Linked DNA regions of Kluyveromyces lactis. The protein of the gene in region 2 interacts with the protein of the main gene of each other region in a pairwise test. Links are inferred from orthologs where the notes say so. Each region holds a gene or a part of one and is shown on either strand. Other genes may lie near its edges.

Evidence for each region.
Region 1: the proteins of CAF40 (region 2) and NST1 interact in binary tests that used the Saccharomyces cerevisiae proteins (3 or more experiments, as listed by UniProt). The link is inferred for Kluyveromyces lactis from reciprocal best matches to the Saccharomyces cerevisiae genes CAF40 and NST1.
Region 3: the proteins of CAF40 (region 2) and MOT2 interact in binary tests that used the Saccharomyces cerevisiae proteins (3 or more experiments, as listed by UniProt). The link is inferred for Kluyveromyces lactis from reciprocal best matches to the Saccharomyces cerevisiae genes CAF40 and MOT2.
Region 4: the proteins of CAF40 (region 2) and KAR4 interact in a protein complementation assay, tested with the Saccharomyces cerevisiae proteins (2 studies listed by BioGRID). The link is inferred for Kluyveromyces lactis from reciprocal best matches to the Saccharomyces cerevisiae genes CAF40 and KAR4.

The regions. Positions count from the first base shown.
Region 1 is NC_006039.1:1,175,408-1,183,906, forward strand, and holds NST1 (Nst1p), read left to right. Parts: upstream 1-3,440; coding exon 3,441-7,340; downstream 7,341-8,499. Other genes in the region: KLLA0_C13750g (S-adenosylmethionine-dependent methyltransferase), read left to right, coding at 1-105; YVC1 (Yvc1p), read right to left, coding at 137-2,167; Rho family GTPase RHO2, read left to right, coding at 8,005-8,499. UniProt on the Saccharomyces cerevisiae protein: With MSL1, acts as a negative regulator of salt tolerance.
Region 2 is NC_006041.1:1,170,024-1,177,541, forward strand, and holds CAF40 (CCR4-NOT core subunit CAF40), read left to right. Parts: upstream 1-2,932; coding exon 2,933-4,198; downstream 4,199-7,518. Other genes in the region: PCL1 (Pcl1p), read left to right, coding at 116-964; SEC21 (coatomer subunit gamma), read left to right, coding at 4,484-7,318. UniProt on the Saccharomyces cerevisiae protein: Acts as a component of the CCR4-NOT core complex, which in the nucleus seems to be a general transcription factor, and in the cytoplasm the major mRNA deadenylase involved in mRNA turnover.
Region 3 is NC_006039.1:703,545-711,269, reverse strand, and holds MOT2 (CCR4-NOT core ubiquitin-protein ligase subunit MOT2), read left to right. Parts: upstream 1-4,029; coding exon 4,030-5,754; downstream 5,755-7,725. Other genes in the region: ICL1 (isocitrate lyase 1), read right to left, coding at 1-653; KLLA0_C08063g (uncharacterized protein), read left to right, coding at 2,813-3,304; U1 snRNP complex subunit SNP1, read left to right, coding at 6,166-7,071; ARG56 (bifunctional acetylglutamate kinase/N-acetyl-gamma-glutamyl-phosphate reductase), read left to right, coding at 7,679-7,725. UniProt on the Saccharomyces cerevisiae protein: E3 ubiquitin-protein ligase component of the CCR4-NOT core complex, which in the nucleus seems to be a general transcription factor, and in the cytoplasm the major mRNA deadenylase involved in mRNA turnover.
Region 4 is NC_006039.1:46,485-53,346, forward strand, and holds KAR4 (Kar4p), read left to right. Parts: upstream 1-3,027; coding exon 3,028-3,999; downstream 4,000-6,862. Other genes in the region: KLLA0_C00649g (uncharacterized protein), read left to right, coding at 78-1,082; KLLA0_C00671g (uncharacterized protein), read right to left, coding at 1,419-2,555; KLLA0_C00715g (uncharacterized protein), read right to left, coding at 4,186-5,703; SPB1 (27S pre-rRNA (guanosine2922-2'-O)-methyltransferase), read left to right, coding at 6,704-6,862. UniProt on the Saccharomyces cerevisiae protein: Component of the MIS complex, a complex that mediates N6-methyladenosine (m6A) methylation of meiotic mRNAs and is required for initiation of meiosis, progression through the meiotic divisions and sporulation.

The DNA.
Region 1 (8,499 bases), on a different chromosome or scaffold from region 2:
TTATTGAAACAACAAACCAATATTTCGTCCAGTTACGGCACTAATAAGCTAGATATATCAATGTTAGGTTACCAATGTTCATTTTGGGTTCTACAGAAAACATAAACATTTATTGATTTTATACAATCTGGAGTACTCAATCATTTTTGATCTTCATTTCTTTAATTAATTCAGTTAATTGATTTATAGTTGTGGTGAGCGTCTCTATCTTTTCTTCGGCTTTCTGCTGTTGATCGTTCAATTCTTTGAAGATTTTATAAGACTCCCAACCTATACCAGTCTCATAACCTTCGCTTACTGGCTGTACGACAGTCTTCACTTCGCTAAACCAACCCTTGTCAACCGGGAACCTAGGATCAACTTCTTCTGCCTCTCTTTGAGCGAGGAGTGCCCTTTCATTTTTCTTTTGCGTCATCCTGTAGCTGTTCTCGAAATCAGAGTCCAAAATGTTAGCTTCCTCTTCTAAGAATCCGTCAGTTAGATCCCAAGCTACATCATTTTCATTAGCATCATCTGGTAATTTATTGAGTCTATTGTACACTATCCTTCTGGCTTGAATGGTTTCAAATATAGAAATATAGCACAACAAGGGTGAGTATATCAGCGTCATCACAAAGCTGGATAGATACTTACCTTGTGTTTTTGGTAGCATCCAGATTATAGGAGTAATACAAATCTCTATCAAATTCAAAGGTGGAACATAGACATCTTCGTCTGGAGCTCTGATGTATCTTAAGGTCTTTTGAGCCATCAATGCTAAATATTCATCTGTGACATTATCAATTACTTTTTGATATGCACTCGAGTACAACGCAATCAATATATTCAAGAGAATTATAGTGACAATGAAACAGTAACTGTAATATAGGATAGCTGCATAAGGAGGGGCAAACCTTTCGAACATATCAAACCCACCATCGCCCAAAATAGTAGTGAAGAGGTTTGATAATATTGGCCATGTAATCTCGCGCCTTCCATCTGCCGAATCTAGTCCTAGGAACCCCTGTAAAAATCCAATCATTATCAAAATTAATAAAGAGAAGAAGTAAATGGACTCCCGCATCATATGTGCCAATACCACCAATAACGCACCAACAAATCTTTCAGATTCCAAATATAGTAACAAACGAGACCATACCAATGGCGCTGCACATGCTAAAATTCTATACGAAACAATATCCCAGTGCTCTGATGGTAAATCAGCCTTCCATGGGCACACACTAATGATACGAATAACGATAGAACATATGATAATTGAAAACATAAAATCATGATATACGTTCCAAAAACCAATGTACGCCCATCCAACATGATAACACTTGACTAATTCGTCGAGTGCATGACCCAGTGTGAACACATAAAACAGGGATTCCCAAAATCCTATCGGTTGAACATTTACAGAGTCTTTTTGATTTACGACAACCGTGAAAAGTACCAAATATAATAGCGAGAAGATGATCTGCAATAAATTTTGGTAGATGGGAGCACGTAATCTCTCAGGCGTGAAATGCTTGGAAACTTCACAGGATGGCACAACGGGGGAAAGGATGTACGTTTCAGGATTGAGTTTATTCTGCACGATCCAACCTCTCCACAACCATTTCAAACAACGTTGGTATCCAGAAGAACCGATAACAATAGTACAATGCATATCCATGGCTAATTCAAGTGCGGAAATTGGGGAAGAATCGCAGTCATTTTCATTAATGACGTACCGACGTAGTAGTAATTGCATAAATGTGTAGTGATGATCCTCGAATTCAGTTTCCTCAATGATCAATTTCGAAAGCTGCTGGGCAGTTACAGCCCTCATATTATAGAGTTCTGAGTTGTGTAGCTCCGATTCAGCCAGTCCCCAATACCATCCACATACTTTTAACAAGGCGAATACAATGACAGATTCGTATTTCCTAACAGAGGCGCGGTCCTTTCTGTCCCCACCGCAAGCTGCTCTGGCCAATTTAATTACTTTCGCATTGAGGATTCTTGAGTGTTCACACGTTACAATATTCTCCTCGTATGTAATGGGAATCACTTCATCTATAAGATACTTTAAATTGGTTGCTATGCGTAGAATTTGTCTTGAATTAGGGGAAGTATAATTTGATGTATTTGCAGGATCAATCCAGTACTGTTGGGAAGTACTTGGAAGCACAGAAGACTGCATCGCTGCTGACCGGGAGTAATTTATCACTGGCAGATACGCAGGTGGAGTGTGCGACTCTCACTAAACAGAACGGGATGGTTAAATAAATGTACAGCAGAAATATTCTTGGGAAATATCACAGGGACAATAGCTTTTCAAGTTTTGTTTGAGTAGAAAAAGAAAGAAATCATAAACGGCTGTAGATAGTCTTGATGTATCTCGTGCACGTGACCAACAAATTTATCTTAAAAACATGAAATTGCTTAAAAGGATGCACTAGGAAGAGTTAATATGTGGCTTGTTAAACCTATAGTTAGTCAGTATTGTTAATCTCTTGTATATTTGGTCAACCAGGGGTATTTTGTTTTAGCTGGAATCTTGAGGAAGGAGGCGTGCAATTAAAGATAGCGAATCAGAGGACCTTTTATGCGGAGCCAATCTTACTTTAAGCAGTGACATAGAGATATCTCAGGATCATTCGAATCATTTATTAAATATAGAAACGACATAACGGCAATTTAAAGAGTGATCATTTCATCAAACCATAAATGTCACATCAAAGCAGCACTGTATTAACCAAGTTCTCTCGCATTGATCCTGTCATTATCGATTATCGGTAAGCAGGCCTAGAACTCCTTTTCATCCAGCTCTTCATCTTCCGAACTTTAGCCGCCGAAGTTCAAAATATAATTCGAAAACTCCTTCCTTCCAAATCTCTCTTTTTATATAGCACTAAGTAAATATATACGTGTAATTGAGTAACCCTAAGTGAGCGAAGAAAGTACTCATCTCAGACCAGCACGTGATTATTTACCCGCACATTTGCTATTACGTATTACCCGGTTCCGTTATCTCCGTACTTTGTATCTTCCATTTTTTTCATTGTTCACTATGGCTTGCTTGATACGGCACTGAGTGAAATTTTGGAAATCTGGTTTCTTCTCATAGTAAGGAGTTTGAAATTTGAAAAAGCCTTTGAATTCTATCTCATCTGGTTTTTAATAGTGATTCTTTCTTTGTATATAGAAAATTTGGAAATTTAAAATATTGGAATAATGCAAATAAAATGGATATAAAACAAAAATTTGTATAGTGTGTAGTTAAGGAAAGTAAAGTAAAAAGAGGAGTGTAGTTGATATTGAAAGCCGAAACCGGACCAAAGTGCTGCAACTAGTGAAAGAATCTCTAGATCAAAGTTTGGAAAGTATTTACAAGCATCCTTTTACAGTCTTTTTTACTAAAGGTAGTTAAAGAATTAGTGGAAGGATTTAAAGTATCACAGAGAGACTCACAAATGGTGGCACATAAGAAGAGTAAGAAGAAGAGTAAGAAGCAGCATGGTTCTGCGGGTGAAAAGGAATTGCATGAATCGAAGATTCACGCAGAAATCATCGATGATGAAGCAGAGTACCCTACCTCTCGTGTGATCAAAAGAGCCCCAAACGGAGATGTCATAGTGGAATCACTTCCGGAAGAGGAATCATTAGACAGATCAGAACTAAACCAGGATCATCGTTCTGGTAGCAGCAGTAGCAGCACTAATAGTGGCGGTGTTACAAATACTGCAGACTGCAATGCCGATGCTGATAATGAAGAAGTCGAGGATACTAAATGGCCAATCAAGTTAGATACCCATTGGGAATCTTTGTCATTGGAAGAGAGAAGGAATATTCTACGGATAAGCAAAGACGAATTGTTTGATATGATCAAATCGTATAAGAATATGCATAATTGTGATTGTAGCATGTGTGGCCGTCATAACAACCTGAATATAGAGCAAGAAATTGAACAGATATATTGCGAACTTTACGATAGTGCAAGGGAAGAAGATTCAGATACAGATTTTGTACAGTTCCACTTAAAGCTAATAAAAGAATATCAGAATGGTAGTAATAATACACATCACCATATGCGTCACCATGGGGACAAACAGGATTCCAATATTTGTCATGAGAACTTTGCCCATAACGATAACGACGATAATAATGATTCAACGAATAAAAATGCCTTTTTATCTAGCATACTTCCGAAAGAGAAAAATGCTAGCACTTCAGAAAATGAATGTACAAATGATTTCCTCGATTCATTAAGCGAAGATTCAGCCATAAAGTATTGTCTTTCAGAAGGAGCGATAGGGCTGGATAAATCATATCAAGTTGACTTCCTTGGTAAAGAAGAAGTTGATTCAAATATGGACACCATTCCGAACAGTGATAATAAAACGCAGACTGCTTTGGATTGGAAACACGAAATCGAACAATTTAAAAGTAGCAAACAGAAGCAGGTATCTGAGTCTACAACAGGTAAAGAAGCTCTCCCTCCTATCAATGACATAGATAATACTAATGAGGTTATCCCCGAACATGATGAGTTTGACTCTAAGCTTCTCCATTTTGCCAAAACTGTAGTATCTTCTCATCCGCATATTGCCGAGGAATTCATCAACAGAGCTATGATGTATCCCCACATTAAAGCTATAACTGAGGATATGATGAATAATGAAGGTGAAGGTTTGAAAAGAGCTATGGAAAGTCTTGTTCTACAACAGGAACTTCAAGATTGGAGGGAAAACATGGCCGTTTCAATTGAGAAGAAGATCTATGAAATGGACCCCACTGAACCTGTTATAGATGTATCAGAATCCGACAGTCACGAAAATGAAAGGGTGAATGGACCAGCAAATGCTTTAGAAGAAAATAACAAAAAAGACGTTATTGAATCAGACTCTCTGGATAGACCTTCGTTGGTTGATAACAATAAAGTGGATTCTCTGATAGACAGTATTCCGTTTAAATTTGTTAAAGATCCTAAAGCGGTTGCATCGCTGAAAAATGCATTCTATGATATCTTCACTAATAAGACGAGACGCTCTGAAATTGACCAAGACGATAAAGAATATAAAGAAGAACTAGAACGTTTACGTAATGAAATTTCAGCGGACGAAGACCAAGCATCTTATGAGTGGTCCAACGATGAGTATGAAGAAAGCAACGATCATGATGAAGATGCAGAGGGCTATGTTGATGACGAATGTATCGATGATCATCACCTCGATTCTGGCTACGATGATGAAAATGAGGATGAAGATATCATATATGATGACCTACATGAAAACGTGAAACTGAATGAGGACCCTTCTGCTGTGCCAAATGGACACACTCAACTGATTCATCACGACAATTCTGTCACCTCAAATGTATCTGAAGATGGTATAGATGATAATTATGATAGTGAGCTTGATCATGCCGAGCGTTTAGAAGAAGGTAGAAGGCTTATACAGATCGCAATAACTAAATTACTCCAAAAAAAGCTTATCGCTTCCTATCAAGAGAAAGAGGCTGAAAAGAACAGAGAACGATTATTGATGGAACTCGAAGCTGAAGAAAATCAGAAGAAGGAGAAGGAGAAGAAGAAACTAAAGAAGAAGGAGAAGGAGAAGGAGAAAAAACGTCAACAACAACTGGCAAAGGAAGAAGAAAAGAAGAGGCAAGAAGAAGAAGAAATCAGGTTAAAGAAAGAAGCTGAGGAAAAGGAGATTGCTCGAAGAGAAGCTCAGAGGAAAAAAGTTGAAGAAGCTAAACGCAAGAATGATGAGAAACGTAAGAAAAAGTTAGCGGAGCAAAGACGTCGGGAAGAAGAACAAGAGCGCATTCGTAAAGAAAAGGAGGAACAAAAGAGACAGCGCGAAGAAGAACAAAAACAAAAGAAAATGGAAAAGGAAAGAAAACAGCGTGAATTTGAAGAACAACGCCTTTTGAAGAAGAAGGAAGCAGAACAGCTTCAAAAACTAAAGGAAAATCAAAAATTGAATGAGAAGTCAATGCAAAAAAATCAAGACACAACAACCGAAGGTGTTCCTTACGGATCCGTTTCAACCAATCCTCTACAGAATAATTCAACGTTGAATGATGACATTTTCAACATGATCAATGAAGTTTCTAAATCATTGTCGTCTTCACCTTCGCGGAATCAAAACGACTTGCTTGGTTCATCTGTGTTATCGAATGTAGATCACCAAGGTGGATTGAACGCAGGCAATGTGTTCATTCCACCTTCTCTTTCCATGTCAGAAATGTCCCCTCATGCTCAGGCTGGATTTAATACGTTAGGTTCAAGCTTGCAACCGAATTTGTTGAACGGATGGGATCAACAATCGTCCACGCAAGCTTATTATCATGCCAACCAGCCCTCTTCTTCAGAAGCTCCGGGATTACTTCCATTGTCGCATGGCGGATCGTCTTCGAAGTTTTCTTCCTTTGCAGACACAACTGTTGATGTTACCGATGACGTTAATAATTTGACCAGTTTCTTGAAAGATACTACAATTAACGATATCTCACTCGGTTCAACTAGTAGTATTCCGGCACAAAATCTGGATCCTGTTAACATGGCACCACGTCCGCAATCTGCTGTTTACAACCAACCAAATCTTTGGAACAATGATCCAAATCAAAGGCTCTCAAACTTTGGTCAACAGCACGTTCAACAGAACCCAATCTCCTCGTCACACTCTCAACCAAGAAGATCTATTTGGGATACTGGAGCTGAAAATACCTTTGGTGTTGCCTCTGCTAACAATTTTGCTTCGAATATCTGGGATACACCTACATCTACTCCAGCACTTCCGAACACCCTGCTATCTTCCCAAGTTGCAGCAACATCTGTTGACTCATATGAGGAAGTCCTAGCCAAGACCTATAAGATGCTTTCTCCAGACAATAGTTTCGTTCCCTTGGACAAGCTATATCAAACATCATTGACTCAAATTAATGCCAAATCAGTACTGTCGTATCCCCAATTCATTTCCACTTTGGTTTCCATGAAGAATTCATACAATACTGAACTTTTGAATGATAACACGGGTTTATTGGCGTACTGCAGAATGGGTTCTGTTCCAGTACCATCAGGATTGCCTTCTTATAATAGACAAAATACTTTCCCTCATGCAACCACTCAAGTTCAGTCAGATTCGCAGCAAATAAACTCAGTTTCAACTCCTATATCGAACCCGCTACCTCAACCATCATCGGTATTTAACGATGTTCATTACAACCAAACAGCTACTACTTCACCAGCGAATCACGGGAATCCAATTCCAGGCCCAACGTCAACAATCGCATCAGATCCTTCGAACTTCGTGAACTTTGGTCAATCGTATCCAAACTCATATCAAACCGGCAATATCTGGAGCTGAATCATCCGATCCAACTAAATTATTTAAACGAGTGGATAGAAAAGAGAACATATCCGTTAAAATTTATTCCTTCTTCGTTTTACGTAGAACTGTAACGTCCAATATAAATGTAACAACACTATTATCTTTTTTTTTTCAATCAGACACCATCAATTGATAGATCATCATTGAATATTTGAACTCATTCAAAAACAGGGCTATAATTAATTTTAATAACTAAGCATAGTCCTATCTATTACACTGTCTCATTGATCACTTCTTCCTTTCTTTTTCGGGCTTCTACTGCTCGGCGGAACATGACAGACATTAATATGATATCATTTCGAAAAATAAAAGGCTCTTTGAAAAAGGCTAGAAAAAATGAAACTTGAAAGATAGAAAAATAGAAGGTTTGCTGTTTTAAAGAAATAAGAAACTGATTTCGAAGAATAAACATAGCGTACGCTCGAAGGAAACAAGGTCGAATCTTCCTTTATTTGCATGTATACGTGCCACCCTAATTTTCTATTTGCAATTGGGTACTTGAAAGTTTGAAGCAGTTCTCTGTTCTGGCACGATCTTACACTACGCTGTTTTCCAAACTTTGTCGGTTTTTGAATTTTAGCTATCAACATAATCAAGAAAGACGCAGTATCACTGCAAAACTTATGCAATATCATAAAATATGTCTACCAATCCAGTTAAAAGGAAACTAGTTATTATTGGTGACGGAGCATGTGGGAAAACATCTTTGTTATATGTTTTCACTTTGGGACAGTTTCCAGAAGAATATCATCCAACTGTCTTCGAGAATTATGTAACCGACTGTCGAGTGGACGGTATCAAAGTTCAACTAACACTATGGGACACAGCTGGCCAAGAGGAATATGAAAGACTAAGGCCCTTCTCGTATTCAAAGGCCGATATAATTCTCATTGGTTTTGCAATCGACGACCCGGAATCATTGGTGAATGCAAGAAATAAATGGTCAGAAGAAGTTCTCAGATATTGCCCTGAAGCTCCAGTAGTACTAGTTGGGTTGAAGAAAGACTTAAGATCACCGGATAATGAACATCAGATGGTAACACGGGAGCAAGCGGAGCAAGTTGCCAGGGCCATTGGTGCTAAAAAATATATGGAATGCAGTGCATTGACAGGAGAAAACGTTGATGATGTTTTC
Region 2 (7,518 bases):
ATATAAAAGAGAGATTAGGATCGGAAGGATGAAGCATCTTCCAGTACTGCCTGTCATGTTAGGCACAATTTTGGGAGCATATCGTAAGAGCCCAACAAGCCTATAAAGTCTAAGCATGTTCAAGAAGAAGAGTTTGGAAATTCTGTTCGATTCACCAGTGAGCGATGATATGATCAAATTTTTAACTGATCACGCTTTGAGAGTGATTCCTACACAGAACAGAAACCAAAGATACCCACCTTCACCACCGGGCACTCCATCCAGTAAGAACCACAATGGAGTACCCAGTCTAATGACGTTCATTTCGAGATTAGTACGGTACACGAACGTTTACACATCCACGTTGTTGACCACCGTGGTATACCTAAACAGATTGAGGGAGTTGTTGCCCTCCGATGCAGCTGGTCTGCCTACTACATGCCATAGAATTTTCCTAGCCTGTTTGATTCTCAGTGCCAAATACCACAACGATTCCTCCCCATTGAACAAGCATTGGACCAAGTACACAGATGGGATGTTCACCTTGCGCGATGTGAACCTAATGGAAAGACAACTGTTACAATTGTTTGAATGGGACTTGAGAGTCGAATCTGAAGAGCTATGGGACAACTTGTATGATTTAGCCAACCCAATCAGAAGAGATTTGGAGAGAGGTGCCCAGATCAACAAGACGAGACAAAGAGCCAAGGCTCAAGCTCAACAGAAAGCATCTCAATTCTACTACCATCAACGCAACCTTTCTGCATGTTCCAGCACTGCTACACTGCTAGGGAACAGCAGGAGTGGATCCATTAACAGTTTGGATATACTGAAGGAATACGAATCGTCATCGTCGTCGTCATCATCGACACTGTCATCTCCGACATACACCGAGGAAATGAACTACAAGAAGTATACGATGGATCCTCGGTACTATAACACTGTACGGCCGGTACAGCACACCGACCCTACAATATACACATAACAGTAGCTTTTAAATATAATAGTGCTAGATAACAAGGGGTGTGTGTGCCCTTGGTCACCTAGCATGGCTCATCGCATTAGGCGATGCCCTATAATCAATATGGAAACGGATTTCTTTACATCTACTGTCCCGGGTAACTTTTCCCAAGCAAAAATTTTTCACTTCCTAAATTTGTATAAATAGAGGCAGGTCCTCTGCACTAAGTACATATATTACTTGTTAATGAGCATTTTACAGATATATATGAAGCTGAAAAGAGCAGGCAACAACTACCAACATCGGGCGATGTTGGAGTTAGTGTTGAAGGCACATCAGTAACAAGGTCGCGATAAGTATATTGCGTCTTGAGGTTCCAAAGACGAGAGAAACGCTGTGCACCAGTCTGAACGTGCTAAAATGTACTCTAGCACTCTGAAGCATTAAGTATACCCAAATTTCTGAGGAACGTTTACTGAGAGGCCTGCAAGTTTGTATTTAAGAAAACTGTATTTAAGAAACCGTACTAGGAGCAACGGCCTCGCTAGAGGCCGTTTCTTTGATATGATAGCCAATGTCACGTGATGCCAAAAATCCGTTCCATACAAAATATAAGAAAAAGAGTATCACGTGATGGTACACCATCACGTGACGTAAACAACCCTCAAAGCTGCGTGTTATATAGCGCCAACCGGGAACACCGCTATCCGCGTCGTTATTGCCACTTCCAGTAATTGTCCGAGGGCGAATGTCTTCCACACGAGACAATCCCCGGGTAATGCCGCACACCTTACAATGGGAAATCAACTTCCCATTGTAGTAAGAAAAAAAATTTTTTTTTCTTCCCTTCGCTTGCCCTTTCCCATGGAACGTTGTGGAAAAAACTCGACAACAGGACACCCAGAATGCAAAGGGGGCTATGTCTTAGAGCATGTCTGGGACACAGAACCGCGCCCGCCCCCGTTTTGTCTTTTGAACCGAAATAATTCTAGCTCATCGATACACCCATAGACCCATAAACGCATCAATCAAATGAAAATCAAAAACAACAATTTGGACCGCATATTCACTTAAAATGCAGTAGCAGCGGAGGGCGCGTTCTAAAAGTAGGAAACGTCTACGCTACTTTAGGATTAGCCCTCTGGACCGTGTAATGTAATGTCATACCACTTCCATGTCCGAGTGAATGTCCGTGTCTCGGTGCTGGGATGATCCCTGAGATCCCTTGCCCTCGCTCTAATACCGGACTCCCAGTTTCACACATATAAATAGAGGAAAACAAAGTTTAAGATGCGATGCCTTTTCCCATACCATTGGCGGTTGTTTTTGGGATAATTTTAATTGTTCTGTCTGACATATTTTAAAACAGCAAGAAACAACAACTAAGTAACACATACAGTTAACAATGTCTGACAAGATCGAAGAACAAAGAGAAGCTATCCAAGATAAGGTTGAAGAAGTTCAACAAAATGCTGAGGAAACTGCTCAAGAAGCTCAACAACAAGCTGAAGAGACTCAAGAACAAGCTCAAGCTAAGGCTGAGGAAACTCAAGAACAAGCTCAAGCCAAAGCTGAAGATGTCAAGAAGGAATCTCAATCTTTTTCCAAGAAATGGTTGGGTAAGTTGAAGAAGTTGTTTAACTAAAGTTAAAATAAAAACAAAAAAAGCTTCCGCTTTTTTTATTTTATTTTTAATCAACTATTAAAGTAATTCTAACATTCCAAATTATAATCTTAACCCCATTCTCCTCTATTATTATTCCTACTATCACCAACTTAATATACATCTTTATATATTGTCTAATACTTAATAATTAATATGCTTCTTCTTTTATTCAGTGTTTCGTCATATTGAACAATGTCTGGGCGTGTTTTGTTTTGTGTTTAAACTTTCGTTGTCTTATTACCCGGATTTCATAACAACCTCAGTTTCCACAACTTAGCACATCTTTTCAACTTAAAAGTGTTGATAATTCGCATCTCTGTATATATATGGTATGTAGAATAGGCAATATTCAGCATTGTCTCAGGGAAGGACACATCATCCAGCTTGTGCATCAGGTAGAACACCCGCAATTATCATCTGCCATGTTTCAACAGCAACCCCAGGCTCAAGCGGCTCAAGCTCAGGGGAATGTGTTCTCGGAACAAACCCGCAGGAAATATTTCCCACAATTGAAACCTTACTTCCCAAATAACCAAGGCCAGGGTCAAGGCCAGCCTCAAGGGCAGGCTCAGGGTCAAAATCAAACCCAGGGCCAACAGCAACAACAGCAACCCCAAAATATGCCTCCTGGTTTGCAACAAGGAATGCCCCACCCAGTAGTAGAAAACAACCAACTTCCAGGTCAGATGCCTGGGATGGGCCAAGGGCCAACTGCAGGACCAAGTTCAGTTCCTGGGCCAGGTCCCACACCAGCAGGAATAACACATGCGCTAGATGATCCAAATGTCTACCATTGGATATGCCAGCTCACTTACGGGCCAAGCAAAGAACAAGCGCTTCTAGAACTAGGTAAGAAACGTGAACAGTATGAGGATTTGGCTATCGTGCTGTGGTCCAGTTTCGGTGTGATGACGTCGTTGCTAAAGGAAATAATTTCAATTTATCCGCTTCTTTCACCTCCTGCATTATCAAACCAGTTATCAAACCGCGTATGCAACGCTTTGGTGCTCTTACAATGTGTCGCATCACACCCAGATATCAGGCCTCAATTCTTACAGGCTCACATCCCGTTGTTCCTTTTCCCATTCTTATCTACGACATCAAACCAAAGAACTTTTGAATATTTAAGGCTAACTTCACTAGGTGTCATCGGTGCTCTAGTGAAAAACGATTCTGCAGAAGTGATCAGTTTCCTTCTAAGGACAGATATTATCCCATTATGTTTAAGAATCATGGAAAACTCTTCAGAACTTTCGAAGATCGTCGCTATCTTCATCTTACAGAAAATATTATTAGACGATAACGGACTCCAGTTCGTATGCGCGACCCCAGAACGGTTCTACGCGGTGTCACAAGTTTTGGCAACTATGTTTAAGCACATGTCCCAACAACAGGTGCCGGGAAGATTATTGAAACATGTTGTAAGATGCTACCTAAGATTATCGGATAATTTAGAAGCCAGAAGATTGTTGAAACAAGTTTTGCCGCAACAACTAAGAGATAACACCTTCAATGAAGCACTACAGGACGATGTAGGTACCAAGAGATGTCTTGCACAACTACTCCTGACTCTAGATGAACAGCAGCAGTGATCTTGCCTGCTATATCATATATATCTCCATATCCATATATATATATATATATACATATATATCATAATTAAAAAACAAGTGTTACCCTCACTTTCACACACCCGCTTCACTTTTTTTTTCATTCCAAAGGACTTCTACCGATTTGCAAACTGAAAACATTATGAATATAAATATATACCATACCACACGGCAAAAAGAATTGGATAAAACACGAGGTTAATAGGCTCAAAATTGGCTACTAAAGGTTAGTACGTCATTTGAAGGTATCCTAGCACTGCCAATTGCATGTCTGCACAAACTTATAAGAAGTCTGAGGACCCACACAGTGGGTCCTTGCCAGACAAAATGGCGATCTATCAGGATTGTTTGAATCGGTTCAATGAATCTCCTGTGAATCCTAAACTGTGCCGTACCCTGATCACAAGCTTGTTGGAACTATTGTCGCATGGTGAGACTTTCCCTAGACAAGAAGCTACTGCTTTATTCTTTTCCATTTCGAAATTGTTCCAACACCCTAACGATTCTTTGAGACAAATCGTTTACGTGGCTATTAAGGAATTGTGTGGAATCTCCGATGATATCTTGATGGCTACTTCTTCAATTATGAAAGATGTTCAAAATGGTTCAGATCTAGTGAAGCCTAATGCTATTAGAGCATTGATCCGTGTCTTGGATGAGTCCACTGCATTTTCTGCAGAAAGATTATTGAAAAATTCGTTGGTTAGCAAACATCCATCTATTTGTTCTGCTTCTTTGGTCAGTTCATACCATTTATTACCAATCGCTGAAACTACGGTGAAGAGATTTGCTAATGAGACTCAGGAAGCCGTTGGTGATTTGAAACAGTTGCCATATCCAGATGAGAACAGTAGATATTATCCAACTACGTCTCATATCTCTCAATACCATGCATTGGGTTTGTTGTACCAATTGAAGAATCACGATAAGATGGCTTTGATCAAATTGATCCAACAGTTTGCCGGTCATTCTTCACCATTGAAAAATCAATTGGCTCAAGTACAAATGGTTAAATTCGTGCACCAATTGGTTTTGAAGGATCCTAACTCCATCCCCCAGTTCTTACCACTAATAGCTAATTGGTTGCAAAGCAGACACGAGGCTGTTGCTTTGGAAGCTTGTAAGCTTACTGCGTCTCTATCCAACTTGGTTCCTAACGATTTGTTTGCAGCAGCGGTTTCTGTCTTGCAAGGATTCTTGTCCACTCCTCGTGTGACAACCAGATTTGCTGCAGTGCGTTTGTTGAACAAGATTTCTATGGTTTCACCAGAGAAAATTGTGGTATGTAATCCACAATTGGAATCTCTTGTTAACGATAGCAACAGAAACATTTCCACTTACACAATCACTACCTTGTTGAAGACTGGTACCGACAAGAACATTGGTTCTTTGATTAAGACAATTACCAAGTTCATCCACGAGGTGAATGACGATTTCAAGATCATCATTATTGATGCTATTAGAACTCTTTCTCTAAATTTCCCTGAGGAATGTGATACAATATTACATTTCTTGATGGAATCCTTACAATCTGCCGAAGGCAGTCTTCAATTCAAAAATAGTGTCGTGGAAGCATTAATTGATTTAATTCAATTCGTCCCACAATCTAAGGAAAAAGCTTTAGAAGAATTATGTGATTTCATCGAAGATTGTGAATATAATGAAATATTGGTTAGAATCTTACATCTATTGGGTAAGGAGGGTCCAACCACTAAGAACCCGTCATTATACGTGAGACACATTTACAATAGAGTTATTCTAGAGAATTCTATCATCAGATCTGCTGCTGTGTTGTCTCTTTCCAAATTTGCACTTGTTAAGAATGACCCTGAGTTAGTAGAAAGTATTGAACAGCTATTGACTCAAATCAAGACTGATTCAGATGATGAAGTTAGAGATAGAGCATCCATTGCTTTGCAATTCATCGATTCGGTTAAGTCCAAGAAAGATGTTTCCAATATCGCACAAAATTTCATTCGCCCAACTTCTACCTATGACGTTGTTGCTCTTGAATCAAAACTATCACACTATTTGTCACAAGGCCAAGAGGCATTCAAGACTCCATTTGACGTCTCGTCAGTTGCCAAATACTCCGAAGACGAGAAGAAGGCATTGGATTTGAAACGCAGACAAGAGCAAGCCTTCAACCATACAGAAGAATCTTCCAACAGTGGTGCCGGAAATGGTAACGGTACTGAAAAGGGTGGTAGAAAGGGTGATAGATTGGATGACAATAGCTTCAATGGACCTTCATTGGAATCTGAAGAAGAAGATTTGCTATTGTCCAAATACGTGGATGAAATGTCCTCCTTGGAACAATTCCAGTCCTTTGGCAAGTGTATCCATTCTTCCAAGATTGTCCCATTAACGGAAATTGAAGCTGAATTCGTTGTGAAGGGTATCAAGCATTTGTTTGACGAGCACGTTGTATTACAATTCCATATCACTAACACATTGAAGGACGTTGCGCTTGATAACGTTGAAGTGGTATGCCAACAAGAAGGATTATCAGAGGGTTTACTTGACGAACAAGAGGAATTTGTTTTGCCTATTGAAAGACTCTTACCCAATGAAGGAGAGTCATGTTACGTATCGTTCAAGAAACTAACACAGAACAAGGATGATATCATTGTAGAAAGATTCAGCAACTCGTTGAAATTCCAATCCAAGGAATTAGACCCATCTACCTCTTTGCCATTCGAAGATGACGAAGGGTTCCAAGATGAATACGAATTTGATTCATTGTTCTTGAGTCCCGGTGACTACATGAAACCATCATTCGTAAGCAATTTTGCCACCTCTTTGGAAGAACTACCTTATGAATCCGTCTCTGTCTACAACATTGTCGAAACTAACACACTACAAGAAGTCATCGACAAGTTAGTCATTAGCGCTGGTGGTTTACCTTTGGAAAACTCACAAATAGTATCCCACGATGCCACCCAACATACTCTAAAACTTTCAGGAAAATGTATCTTAGACAACACTAAAGCCCTGCTTTCCATCAAGATGATCAAGACAAGTAAGGGTATTGCAATTAAGGCTCTAGTGAAATCCGACAAGGAATCGTTGGCAGAAGACTTATCAAACAACTTGATATAATATATGTACATTTGAAAACAAAAAAAAAACCTATATATATATATATCTATCTAAGATAGCAACATAAGTATTTCTCAGCCGTAAATATAACGAAGTTCTCAGTCTGATAATCGTATTTCAGCCGCTCGTTGTTCACCCCTTATCCTTTAGACCTTATCTGAGACTTCGAGATGAGAAAGTCACAATTTTAAAGGTTTGTT
Region 3 (7,725 bases), on a different chromosome or scaffold from region 2:
GGGATAACACATCTACCAGCCATGTGACCACACTTTTTGTTTGTAGAAGTTTGATCTTCAATGTGGATACCGGCAGCTCCTCTTTCGATGAACATTTTTGTCAACTTGAAGACAGCAGTCAAACCACCATGACCAGCGTCACCATCAGCAACGATTGGAGTCAAATAGTCAATGATTTCAGATTCTTCAATGGTACCATCACAGATACGTTCCCATTGTTTTCTGTCATGGAATTGTTGAGCCTTGAACAAATGCTCCACTTTGTTTGGTACAGTGTCCATTGGGTAATCAGCCAAATCTGGACCCGGTTCGTTAGAAGTTGATGCAGTGGAAGAACATTGCCAGCCTGAAACGTAAATGGTATCCAAGTACTTAGACATTTGGGTCACTTGAACAGGGTCCAAAGCACCGAAAGTCTTGGAGACAGTGCCGTTCTTAGCGTGTTCCCCCAAGATTTTGAACAATTTTTGAGACATCACAGTAGATGGGAAAGTATTTGGTTTTACTGAACCACGTCTCTTTGCAATTTCGTAAGCAGAGTAGATACGTTTGGTGTCCTTCCAACGAGGTTCGGACCACCATTTCTCAATTTCGTCAATTTGACTTTGTAAGAATTCCTTCTTTTCAGCAGCAGAAGCCTTAACGGAGACCATTATGTTGGGTTTGTATGTTTTGTCGTTAAAACTTTCCTATGATAATATCAATTAAATTCGTATATGTTTTGCAAAGTAGTTGTGACTATTACAATACAATACAATATCGTTTGATGATTTCTTCAGATCAATAGAAAGAATTACAAACAAATACAAGGTAGAATATAAATACTTCTGAAACATACCATCAGTTATTCAAGACTCTCAAACCTCATCCTATATTTATACAAAAATTCTAAAACCTTAAGGTATAATTGAACTAACCTAATTCAATTTCAAAATATCATGGTTAAATGGATGTCACAGAATATATCACACACGTAATGGAAGTACCTAATACTAAGGTCCTTTTTTGCTTAACTCAACCAATCATGGCTCTAATTCCCACCAAAATTTTCACACTGACGACAAATTATTCCCTTTAATCAAGGGAAAGGTATGAGTCGATTTCTCTAACTGTCTGTCCGTCTGTGTGATATGCACCATTTTTCTGGTTTCGTCTGATCATTTCTGATTACAAACGGTACCATGTATGTGCAAATGAATCGTGTTTTGTTCGTCCATTGATCCCTGAATTGCGATACTCGGTTGTGGTATTTGTCACTTAGAGTTCCAATTACGTTGAAACAGTTGACCAGTTTCAAGCCGTCCAGATCCCAGTATGCCTAACCTGCTATTTGGCTGAGGAACCAAATAGAGTCAACTGAGTCAACTTTCCCCATTCATGCGAAAATGTCCGTGAATTCTTTAGAAATGGATGTAGGGAGGGGAAGAAAAACTGGAAAAACTATCACATTCGGTTTAATGGCGGATGATTCAATTCTCCCATCGTAAAAGAGGGACAACAAACAGGGTCAAAAGGATCAGGAAAAAAAATGTTTCAACCGTGTGAGCGTTCTGTGTCTTGTGTCATTCGTCCTTAGTCCGAAAGTGAAACCTTACTTTAAGTAATGGGGCAGATAATCACATAGCTATGTCGCTGTTAATCATACCCGATTATCTAGATGCAGATTAGGTGAGCTTACGGTATCAGCTCCATGGAAGGAGCCGATATATATAAATAAATATTACCCGGCTAAACGCTTATTGTCTAGTTAAAAAAAGTTATTTCCAAAAAATAACGACACCAGCAGGATTTGAACCAGCGCGGGCAGAGCCCAACAGATTTCAAGTCTGTCGCCTTAACCACTCGGCCATAGTGCCAAAATTTTGCAAATATTTCGATACTTGATTCTTATATTCTTAAAAACCTTTCATATGAGGATAAATCAGACATATCTCTTACTCTACCGAGTCGAATATGGTTTCCCGAAAACCTCTTCCATACAAGCAGTCTGACAAAACTTGCCTAATAGGCTGGAGCTCCAGATATTCAAAGAGGAACTCTCATGTTTCCATATTGCCTTAGAATAGCATGCCACTTTGAATGTTTTTTTAACACCACTCACAAATAGAGCACTACAAAAGAAGAAGTCAGGATGCCGATGTCAGCAAAAAAAGCAATTATAATTATGCGGAACGCTCCCTCAATTTTTAAGTGGTGGAAAAACTTGTTAGATAATCCGTGCGCGCAAACCATGATACGCCGCACATTTGCCTATTTGATGCAGCTTTAACCCCAGTCTTGTGATTTTCTATTCTTTACTTCGAATAACGCTACTTATTCAATGAGCAATCACTACATCACAGTATATTCATCATTTGTTGCATTCTCTTTGGCGAAGCTTGGTACCGTACACCCCAGAGTTTATTTGTGGGTACTAAATGGGTTGGTATAGAGACAAAGAGGAAGAAAAGTGGGTAGCAAAAAATTCGGTGGTGTGTTATGTGCAACCTAGCCTCATGGTGGTGTGCTATCTCTAGCTGGTTGTGTTTATTTGTACCTCTGCGGAATTAGGGTTGGATCTATGTGGAATTAGGGTTAGGGGTGTTGGAGTAAAAACACATAAGACAACAAAGGTAAAAGTGGCATATAAATAGAGGGTAAAATCCTAACTCCAAGTTTGCTAATCCTCTTTGCCGTATACCCTAAGTTTATGTGTTTTTCCTTTTTCTTGAGTGCTACCATCGGTACACAAGCATCAATTTGCAATAGTTAATACATATATTAACTTTTAACACACAGACACACTCTACATCAGAGAAGAATATTCACAGAAATGACCAAGAAGGATAAAGGACCAAAGTTTGCTAATGTCACCACCAAGTCCGGAGAAGTCGTCAAGGTGTTTGAAGATTTGAACGATTTCGAAACATTCATTAAGAACGAAACTGAAGATGAGGAATTTGATCACGTTCATTGTCATTTGAAGTACTATCCTCCATTTGTACTACACGAATCGCATGAGGATCCTGAAAAGATTAAGGATTCAGCCAATTCACATTCAAAGAAGTTTGTGAGGCATTTGCATCAGCATATCGAAAAACATTTGCTAAAGGACATCAAAGAGAGAATCAAGCTGCCTGATTTGAAGTTTAAAGACAAGGCAAAGGAAGAATCGTTTGAACACATTGTATGGAAGTATAATGATGTAACCCAGTATCACGGTAAAGATTTCGAAATCCATATTACCGTGGAGTGCCACAACGATTCGGCTATTGTAGATGTCGATTATTTGACAAAACCACTAACAGCTGCCGTCGAAGCTTAGAGACCATTGTTTTATTTTGAGTCACATGACCTCAAATTTCTCACTAAAGCATCGCGCCTTTTGAGAGATACAACGAAACAGGACCCCCAAAACGCCGTAAAAGTAACGTAGGCCTGATTTGAGCATTCCTATATATACGTAATTAGCGTGTTTAATGACTGAATGAATTTTATGATTATCTAAACATGGCTTTCTATTCCTCATACATTATGCCTTGTCAACCAACCCCTTTTATTTTATGATACAAACCCATCAGAACATTTCTTCTCACGTGACCTCATATTACGTCTTCTGAAGATACGTATCCGTTTAAAGGAAGAATTTCCAGGAAATTTTTTTTTTTTATTTCAGTTTCGATCGTTCTTTAGTTAGTTCATGGAAACTTTGTTTAAAAAATTGAAAAACTTCTTTTAAGAGTTTTATAAAAAAAATATATATGTATTTCAAATAGTGTATTTACCAAAGTTTCGAGTTGTAAACGTATGTTAAAAAAAGCATACAGGACCAAAAATAAATTCTAGAAATAATTAAGTGCTTGAGCGGAACTATTTATTGTCAATTTATCTGTCCTAGAATATACGAAGAATCATTATCGGCTGGCGAAAGAATACATCTTGGCAATTTTACACTATAAGGATAACACATTATCTGACAGCTCTGATAACAAGAAAGCACTATTTCGATACGATATACACGATACTAGACACAATACACATACGGATAAGATGAATGCCACGGCTACGGAAAATCCGCATGTTCATCAGAATCAGCATGAGATTCAGAAAGCTTTATCAAATTACGATACGTCCTTCTTATCGGATGACGAAGAGGACTTGTGTCCACTTTGTATAGAACCACTCGATGTTATGGATAAGCATTTCAAGCCTTGTCCTTGTGGATATCAGATTTGTCAGTTTTGTTATAACAATATTCGTCAAAATCCTGAGCTTAATGGTCGATGTCCGGCTTGTCGTCGAAAGTACGACGATGAAAGCGTCGAGTACATCGTTCTTTCTCCAGAAGAGTTGAAAATGGAACGTTCCAAGCAGGCCAGAAAAGAACGTGATCGTAAGCAAAGGGAGCGTGAACGTAGAGAAAATGACACTCATAATAGGAAACAGCTTGCTGGTATGAGGGTCATTCAGAAGAATTTGGTTTACGTTATTGGGTTGAATCCACCTTACCCTTACGAAGAACTTCCATCCATCTTGAGATCGGACAAGTATTTTGGCCAGTATGGAAAAATTAACAAGATCGTCATCAATAAGAAGACTGGACACGAGCACCATTCTGTTTCAAATTCATCGAGTCATATAAATTCAGGTTACGGTATTTACGTTACTTTTTCCAGAAAAGACGATGCAGCAAAATGTATTCAAGCCATAGATGGTATCTATATTGATGGACATCAAGTGAAAGCAGCATATGGTACAACAAAGTACTGCTCCTCGTATTTGAGGGGACAACCATGTCCAAATCCGAACTGTATGTTTTTACATGAACCAGGGGAAGAAGCGGATGCTTTCAACAATGCCAGGAAGGAACATGCCCATCACTCACATGCACCACCTACACTTGCTAAACCGTCTACAAGTGCAAGCTCTACGCCAAAGCTTGCTCATGCTTCATTGAGAACAGATGACTCTACTGTGCCAGCAGCTGCAACTTCAAGCTCGAAGCAAACCGCTCCTGTGCTAACACCAGCTCCAGTTCCATCTGGTTCAAACCCATGGGGTATATCTCAAGCACCCACACCAGTTTCTACTATTTTCAACAAGACTTCTACTTCTACCACTTTCCCTACGTTGTCAAGCTCCTTGGGGGAAACTCTGAACAGTCCAGGTCCAGGCACTCCTACGACCACTGGATCTGCCCCAACAGCAAACTCTTCTTCTAACGTAAGTTCGAAGAAGAAGGGCGAAAAGACATACGAGGATCCTTACGATCCAATGGCAACATGTGTTAAGTTCCTAGATCAAACTTTTAAGTTTTTATCAGATATTCCTGAAAGAAGCTACACATTCAACTCCAACTTATTGGATGACGAAACATATCAAAGTTACCCATCACTTTTTTCATTTGAGAAGATTGGATGTAGTGAGCAATCTGAAGGTGTCTTGGGTGCCAAACTATGTGATTTGCTTACTATAAAACCTGTGGACCACATGTCCTCTCTTCTGCCATTCATTCAAAACAAGGCTACACCTACCATGTTACCACCGGGAATTGCTGTCCAGCAACCACAATTAGTACAACAGCAGAAGCAGCAGCTACAGCAACAGCAATTACAGCAACAGCAACAACAGCTTTCACTGCAAATGCAACTACAAGCCCAACAAGGCATGGCGCAGCAAGGCATGGCGCAGCAAGTTATGAGCCAGCCACAAAGCAATTCTTCCGATCTACTAAATCAATTAATTCACGGTAAGAAACAGACTGCTGCCGTATAATCAGTACTCAGTATGATTCCAATAATATTTCTTTTACGAAGTTAGCATATAAATAAATATATATATTCATGTACATTCATTTATTTTTCAATATAAACCGTTCCAGGTTGTTAGATAAACAACTGTTTCAATTTCATTTTTCCAAATCAGACCTTGTAATCTACTGTCTTTCTGGGTTCTTCTTTCTGTCAAAGGCATTCACATTAAAATACATATTTTGACACACTCTTTTTAAGGTTTTTCCATCAATTATGTGAAAATTGTAACATTTAACATCTAAATAGTAAAGATGCGCCAAAAATATGGAATATAATTACATACACTTTACCTCAGCGCATACACCTTAACCTCGATACTGCGGTAAGCGCATCAATAAAGATAATATTGGCACATATCCATTCCAATTAATAGATGAAACCACAAACGAGGAAATACAACAGGCATAATGGCTTTCACACTTTGACCAAACTTCCGTCTTCAGTATCAAAGTTATTTACACAAGGTCCACCATTACCACCATCGAGAGTGAGAGTAAGGCGAAACCAGAACAAGAAATATGCACTCACTGGTGTATCAGCCGTGTTGCAACATGTTTCAGAGTATAAGAAGGCAACCCATCCCGTATCAGAGAACCAACACTTGAAAGTATATGATGAAGCCATGAACGAATCGCACAAAGAACAGGAGGAGTTGATGAAGAAAATACAAGAGTGGCACCCTGAATCAGATGCAAACATTTCTAGTGACCCCTACCGCACATTATTTGTCGGACGGTTACACTATGCCGTAGACGAAGTTGAACTACAGAAGAGTTTCGTCAAATACGGCGACATTGAATCGTGCAGAATAGTAAGAGACCAAGACGGTAAGAGCCGAGGATACGGTTTTGTGCAGTTTACCAGTTATGAAGACTCCAAACAGTGTTTCAGAGAGCTTGGTGTAAGGAAGGGAATAGAAATCATGGGCCGAACATCCATCGTTGATATAGAAAGAGGCAGAACGGTGAAATTCTTCAAACCTCGACGTCTAGGTGGAGGATTAGGAGGACGAGGTTACCAAAGGAAAGATCTCGTAAATAAATTAACTGGTGCTTCAACAAGACCGATGCATGAACATGCTAGAAGACCCATCAGAAGACACGATACCTTCGAAAGAAGAGGTCCTCCACAAGGGCATTCCCATTCTTATCAACCAACTAGTCCAATATCCTCACCTGCATCAAATTTCCAAAAAACTGCAAGTTCTAGCTACCGATCAAGGAGGGACAGATCTCGCAATGATACTTCCAATGGTTCTACAGACACATTGATGTATTGAGATGAGATAAAAAGACACATCAAATAGCACGTGATCAGAACTGCTGCAGTGATCTATATACATTTTCATATATATTCATATAAGTAGCCATACAGATGAGCCATGGCTAAATGTTATATGTACTTCCTACCATTTCTACCTCTGTTCTCATATCTACGCAGTTCTCCTACATTGTGCCCACTGGCCAAGCATAACTGAACCACTACCTCTGTATGCATGAGTAATTTCTTGATCGATGACTGATTCCAAAATAACGATGGAAAAAATTATTCCAGTCAAACAAAAAAAAAAAAAAAAATGGCAACTCAGCGAATCGCACATATAAAGAAAACCGTTTTCAGTTTCCCATTCGCTAAGTATTTCCATTAGGTATCTAAAGTATGAGTTAACTCGTAAAGTACTGAACAGCATTATTGTCTAATCGAAGTTAAGACCAGCTCTATCCATCTGCAGGACAAATTAAAGGGTTTGCAGGAAAGTGTTGATACCTGCCTTTTCAGTGATAGTGAGCCAAGCCAACTGTTTTATCTTCTTTAAAGGATTTTGATTAGATAAAGAAGAAGAAGAAGAAGAAGAAGAAGAAGAAGAAGAAGAAGAAGAAGAAAACATGTCTGTCCCATCTGCGAGATTGTTGATGTCAACGAAGGGTTTGAA
Region 4 (6,862 bases), on a different chromosome or scaffold from region 2:
CTTTACTTTTTATTTCTTTATCATCCCTTTTATTACCAATTTGACACATTTCGTTTCTATTTTTTACCTTCTCAATTATGGCTCTTACAGGAAAGCGTTCTCATATATTACTATTAAGTGATAGAAACAACAATAAAGATAATACAACCAGGAATAACAATCCAGAAGGATCTGGTGGTACACATAATGCACCATTCATTTTGCAACAAAAACGAGCCAAATTAAATGGTGGTCGTTACAAAGTCACTGCTGAATATTCTAGCCCTGTAGATTCCGAAGATGATTGCAATGATACCGGCTATTCTTCTATCGATTTCGATTCAGTAGTGCATCCTTCAAGGAAGGCTAATCTTCACTTTCCAAACCCCAGAGCATTAGCCGAAATAGTCAATTGCCCGGCATCATGCAGTGATGCATTTACGTTGAATTCCAAACTTGATATCAAGAATGCAGCCAGTACCGTCAATGATACCTCAGACTTTTCTACTGTAAACAGTGATAACACTGGTGTGGAGAAGGAGTCAACTGATCCAAATATGTTTTCCAGTACTGCATCCACTGCAAATTATTTAACAACGTCAATCCCAAGACCTTTGTCGAGACATTCTTCGTGTGTTGTTCCTCAGTCTGATCTGCTGGCAAGAGAACGTTGTTTCGATTACATTGTCCAATCCATTGATGAAGTTTGGGCAAGATATTGCGACACGACGTCTTCAGCTGAGAATCAACTTTACCCATATGGATATGTCTCCCCTGTATCAGATTCTGAAACTTCCGGCAGTGAAAGCGATTCGGGTTATAAATCTAGTACGGACGCCGAAACTGACTGCGAATATCGTAAGGTTTCTAATCTGCCTGATTCAAAAGAACTACAATCACTAAAAGATCGTTTAACTAAGGCTAAGCATTCTTTGGAACAGACCGTGGATTCGGTGCAATTTCAAGATTGTGTTCTATTTTGGAATCGGTGGGACATGATCAAATACAATGCTGTTGAAATGATGGAAGAAGAGGATGATGATGAGTTGGTAGAATCGGTTATAGAGGAGTTAGAAGAAGGAAGATGGTATAACGAATCGTGAACTAAAGCCACTTCTTTCTGCTTAACGCTAACGCATGTTATTTCTGACCGTATGCAAGTTCATCTGTCAATGGGTGAATATAACTTTACCTTTCCAAAATTTTTTCGTGTTTGTCATCAGCTGTATTTTTTTCACTTCATTATGGGAACACTTTTGTTCAATGGGGAACTTTTCTATTCAATTCACTAGAAAAAAAATCATTATATCATATTTTTATTTACAACTTGGTTTTGATTTATCATCTACTTGTCTTATATAAAGATATACTTTTACCTGCATCATTTATTTTTTCGGCTTAATTACAATCGAGTTTCCAAGCGTGTGCCCTTGAGGTTCCTAAACAATATACTGCATCCCACTTGTGAGTGCTAAAAGTTTTAATGTACCATATAGGGACCCTATGTACTTAATCTCGATAGACTCTGCAAGATTTGCTGAAACTGACCGTGGAATTACAGTTTGAAGATCATCATTCCACAAAGCTACAATTCTTCCACCGCTATATTCAAAAATCCTCACTACTAATTGATAAGCCAATTCTTTTGCCGCTTTATTAAAGTCAGAATTTAAACGCTGAAAGACTGCCCAAAAAAGTGAGTTTTCACTAAAAGTATACCACATAGAACTCAATTTCAATGACCTCAGGTGGTTAGGCAAAGGAACTGCGGAAATATTCAAATCAATTAATAGCTCCTGAAGAAGAAGTATGTTTTCCATCTTTGGCACAATGGCGTCGCATTGTTCTAAAAACAAAAGTGTTATAAATCTGCTATCACCTGATATTAAGTATCCAATAAAAGTCAATGTTCTATGATATAATGTCCCATCCAAATCCTGGATTATTTTCCCAACAATCTCAGTGGTATCTGAAAAAACTTGAAATATCACAGCGAATACCTCTTTGAGATCTCTGGTGGTATTATATTCTGTAATTAATCGCAATAGTGCTATCATTTCATGATCGCTAACTTCTCGAAGCATCGAACAGCAAACGTTCACAAATGTCAAAAACATATCATCATCTAATGTATCCCATAAACTTACCAAAAATTGTTCTTGCAAAATTACACCTGCACTGAATGACTTTGGTACTTTCAGGAAAAATTTTGGTAACCATATCTTGTTGAACTCAAACCTACTCGAAACAGTTTTATAAACTATCTCTTGCATAATTGATCTGCTTTCTGGGTCAAAAGGACCCTTGCTTTTTGTTTCGATATCATGCAAATACTGGAACACAGGGTTTTCACCACCGTTCTGCACAACTACTGCTTCCAAAAAAGCTTCTGATTTTAGAATAGTATCATTGATAACTTGGATTTCTCGAAGTACATTCAAATCTATGACTAAGTTTTCAGTGTACCGTCCAACGTTTTCTAAAAGATCATTAGACTTTTTAGATAGATCTTTTTCCCCAGAAGAGATACTATATAACATGCCAATCTCACTATCGACTGCGTGTATCGTGTGCATGCTCTATATTTTTGAAGATAATACGTTCTCGAACAGGAAATATCAAATGCTGTAATTCAAAACACAGGTCAAACCCAAACCAAACATTTTGTGACAGGAAATTCAAATCTGCTGTTATTCCTAGTGTCTGTTGAACCAAAAGGCTTGACATAAACCTGCGACAGCGAAGAAAATAATTTTTTTCTTTTTTTGTTTTGACGCTTCTTTTTGTCACTGATAGTTTCAGATTGAAACTTTCATTCTAACGGAAAACGCGAACATATGTCAAGAATGAAAATCCTTTATAAACGGCGGCAAAATATTCTTATGAGTAACAATTAAAAGACACATTTCTAGTGCTAGTACAAGGCATCATCTGCTAAAACCCAATTTCACACAGTAGTATTTATACTCATATGGAAAGCACTTTTGTTTCAAGTATACACTTATTTCTAGTACTTTTCTCAGGATAAAACTATAACTGGCTGCTGAAATGTCGGCGGTTTTAGAGGAAATATATCAGAAAAAGGGGAATTCGAGTAAGAGCGTAGCGAGAGAACATGTCACACTTAGGCCTGCAAATGAGTTTCACACGAATGATCATTCAAATAACTATATACATACTGGATCGCTTCCCCAAACCCACGTAAGAAACATTGAGAATACTGTTGATGGATATCCGAAGTTGCAGAGGCTATTTAGCCTGAAGGAAAGGCAGGTAATGCAGTTTAATACAAAACCATTTGGTTGCAAGGTAGAGCTTGATGAAATAGTTCCCACATTAAATGATTGGGTACAAAAAGATGGTTTAACTTTCGATGTTGTCATGATTGGTTGCTTGACTGATAATCAATTTATCTATCCCCTTTTAACTCAGTTACCGATACATAAATTGATATCAAAGCCAGGGTTTTTATTTGTATGGGGAAGTGCACAGAAGATCAATGAGCTTTCAAGACTTTTGAACAACGAAATATGGGCAAAAAAGTTTCGCAGAAGTGAGGAGTTGGTTTTCGTCCCTGTCAACAAGAATTCACCATTTTACCCCGGATTAGAAGCAGACGACGAGTCACTTTTTGAAAAGATGCAATGGCATTGTTGGATGTGTATCACAGGAACAGTAAGAAGAGCCACGGATGGCCATCTCATACATTGCAACATTGATACCGATTTAGCAATCGAATCAAAAAATAGTAAAGTTGGGGCAATTCCGAATCAATTGTACAAGGTAGCAGAGAATTTTAGCACCGCTACAAGGAGACTTCATATCGTTCCCGCCAGAACAGGAAGTGAAACACCAATCCGGATGAGACCTGGTTGGGTTATCATGGGTCCAGATGTACTGCTAGACAACTTCAACGCTATGGAATATAAAAATGAGGTTGGAAGAGTTGGATCGAACCTGCCAAAAGATCCCTCCATAGAGTCATTAAGACCAAAATCTCCAATATCTATTAAAAATTGATGGTATATATAAGCTTGTAATTTCTAATTTGCATTCAGAAGGGCTAAGGTCTTGATTTGAACGAGGCATACGATATGTGTCATGTGTTTTATGTCTAGTCACTGTGGTCATTATCAATACAATCTCCATTCCCAAAATCGGCCGGTTATTTTGAATGAATAAAAACATCAGTTAAAGGCATTTTATTCATTTGAACCATTGTTCAACACCTTCCTTGATTGGAGTCAATAAACCTTTTTGTTTTGGTACATAGTTAATTCTATGGTAAGCGTTCAAATTCTTTCTCAAGACAATTTGGAAACAGGTGGCAGAGCCCTGTCTGGAAATAATAGTGGAGTATGCTAGGAAAAATTCCCAGATTCTGTACCATCTCATCCCATACTTGTTGACAACATCGTCCTTATGGCCAATCCAGTTTCTGTACCATCTCCATAAAGTTGCGGAGTAATCAACACCGATATTATCAATCGAAACGACCTCAAATCCAGTAGCTTCTAATTTTGAAACGACAAAATCTAACGGTGTAGAAGCGTCAGCACCAGGGAAAATATACTTGTTCATGAAAAGACCCCAGATCAAATCTTCGTATTGCCATGGCTTTCTCAATCCGGCGTATTGTAAGTAGAATAAACCATCATCTTCCAACATGTCGTACACTTGTTGCAAGAAAGAACCGAATTTCCTGATACCAACGTGTTCAGCCATTTCCAAACATGTAATTTTATCATATTTCTTACCGTCCTCAGTGGCCAATGGAGTATCTCTGTAATCCTTACATAGAATCCGCGATTGTTCGTTGTCGATCCCTTGCAAATCGAGTTTATCGTTACCCCATTTGGTTTGATTTCTACCTAAAGTGATACCTGTAACCTTTGCGCCATAAATTTTGGATGCATAGGTCGCCAAGGTCCCCCAGCCGCATCCCAAATCCAATAAATATTCACCTGGCTTTAAGTCGATCTTGTCACAGACAGTTTTCAATTTGTTGTCTTGTAACTGCTCCAAGCTTTCTTCCTTTTCAATATCTGAGATCAAACCACTGGTATAAACCATTCTTGGACCAAGGAACCAAGAGTAAAAGTCATCACCACGGTCATAATGATCTCTGACTTGTTCTTCATCTTGAGATCTGGTGTGCATAATAACTTCTGGAATCATACCAAGCAAGAAGAACTTGAAAAGTGATAGAGTAAAAGAGAATTGAGCCCAGTCATGTCTGTACTCCATCACTTCCAAAGCATCAAAGTTGAAAGAGACCTTATTAGCGAAAAACAGTTCGTGGAAAGTCTCCATAGGAATTTTCTTACCGTGGTATTTTTCCTTCAAAGCATCATCATGGAAGGTCAAATAGTACTCAATTGGTTTTCCTGGTAATTTGCATTTCTCATTCAAACGAGGAGAGTAAGTGGATGCAATTGTCCAAAAGGCCATTAAAATTGGGATAGCAAACAGTACGGCAAAGAACAAGAAGGTTTTGAGACCTCCCCCAACTTTCCTTGTTACATAGTAAGGAATACCACCGAGCAAGGAGAATAATAACCAATTGGAAAAGTGTCTGGAAGAAGGTCCCTCTGCAGGCAATGGAGCGTTCTTAATAGCTGGTGATGCTGTCGTTTTCACGCCATATTTGGAATTCACTGGTTCAGGAGTTTCCGCCGGAGGAGTCTCCTTAAACTGAATCGTTTCAAATGAATACTTACTCATCTTCCCGTGTATTCAACGCAGTGGATACTAGATTGATATCTTGCGCAATTGAATTAAACAATACTTTATGTACAAGTATCTCATACAACCATAAATTAATCAAGTAAGTAAGTACTTGAAAGGATTTTTGATTTTTGCAGTTTTATTTTGGAATGCTTTTCTTCTTCCTTTTTTCTCTGTCTGTAACGTGTATCGTTCTACTGGCTGGAATGTACAATACGCAGATATTCTGGCCAAATATAGTGATACTGAACCCGGATGAATTAGGCTATATATACACCTACGTATAAGCGGGAACCATTATGTTGTGTGATAATTGGATATAAGATTGCAGTTACTGCCAATGGACCGAGAGGGCCATAGAATGCATCTCTATTTCGAGAGGCGGTCATAAATTTATTTAGCCTATGGTATGATCAGCAGTAGCAATAGTAGTAACTACCCATACCTATAATCTTGCAGAAATATTATAAGCATCGGTACCCTTATAGCCTGAGAGCGTTGCATAATTATTTGTAAACGTTGGCAGTGCTAATGGTTGAAAAAAAACCGAAATCATATTCCTTATTTAAAACTGTGGAACGCTAAGGGCCCTCTATATAAGTCTTGTGTTGTTACAGTAATATCAATATCCATGATAACACGTCCAAACAGATTTTTTACTGCTCGTTATTTTAACAGTGGAAACCGTGCATAGCATCAAAGCTGGCAGTTCCTCCAGTACAGTGTCCGGTGTTTCCATACCTGGTACCGCGAGCATTCTTAACCCGAACACCGCATCCAAAATTATTTCTTTTTCAGATAATTTTTCATTATTTGTGAGAAGAGTGACAATTTTTTATTTGAGAAATTGGTCTAGCGATGAGATGAGATGAGATGAGATGAGAAGAGATTAGTTGAACGTTGAACAGGTTACAACTGTTGTTTATTTGCTTTCTGATATCCTGTTCTCTTTTAGACTTGAGTGAATAGGTCACCATACATTACCGAGAAGACCAAGATGGGTAAGAAGACGCAAAAGAAGAATTCCAAAGGTCGTTTAGATAAGTACTATTACCTTGCTAAGGAAAAGGGCTACAGAGCTCGTTCTTCCTTCAAAATCATTCAAATCAATGAAAAGTATGGACATTTTTTGGAGAAGTCGAAGGTCGTTATCGAT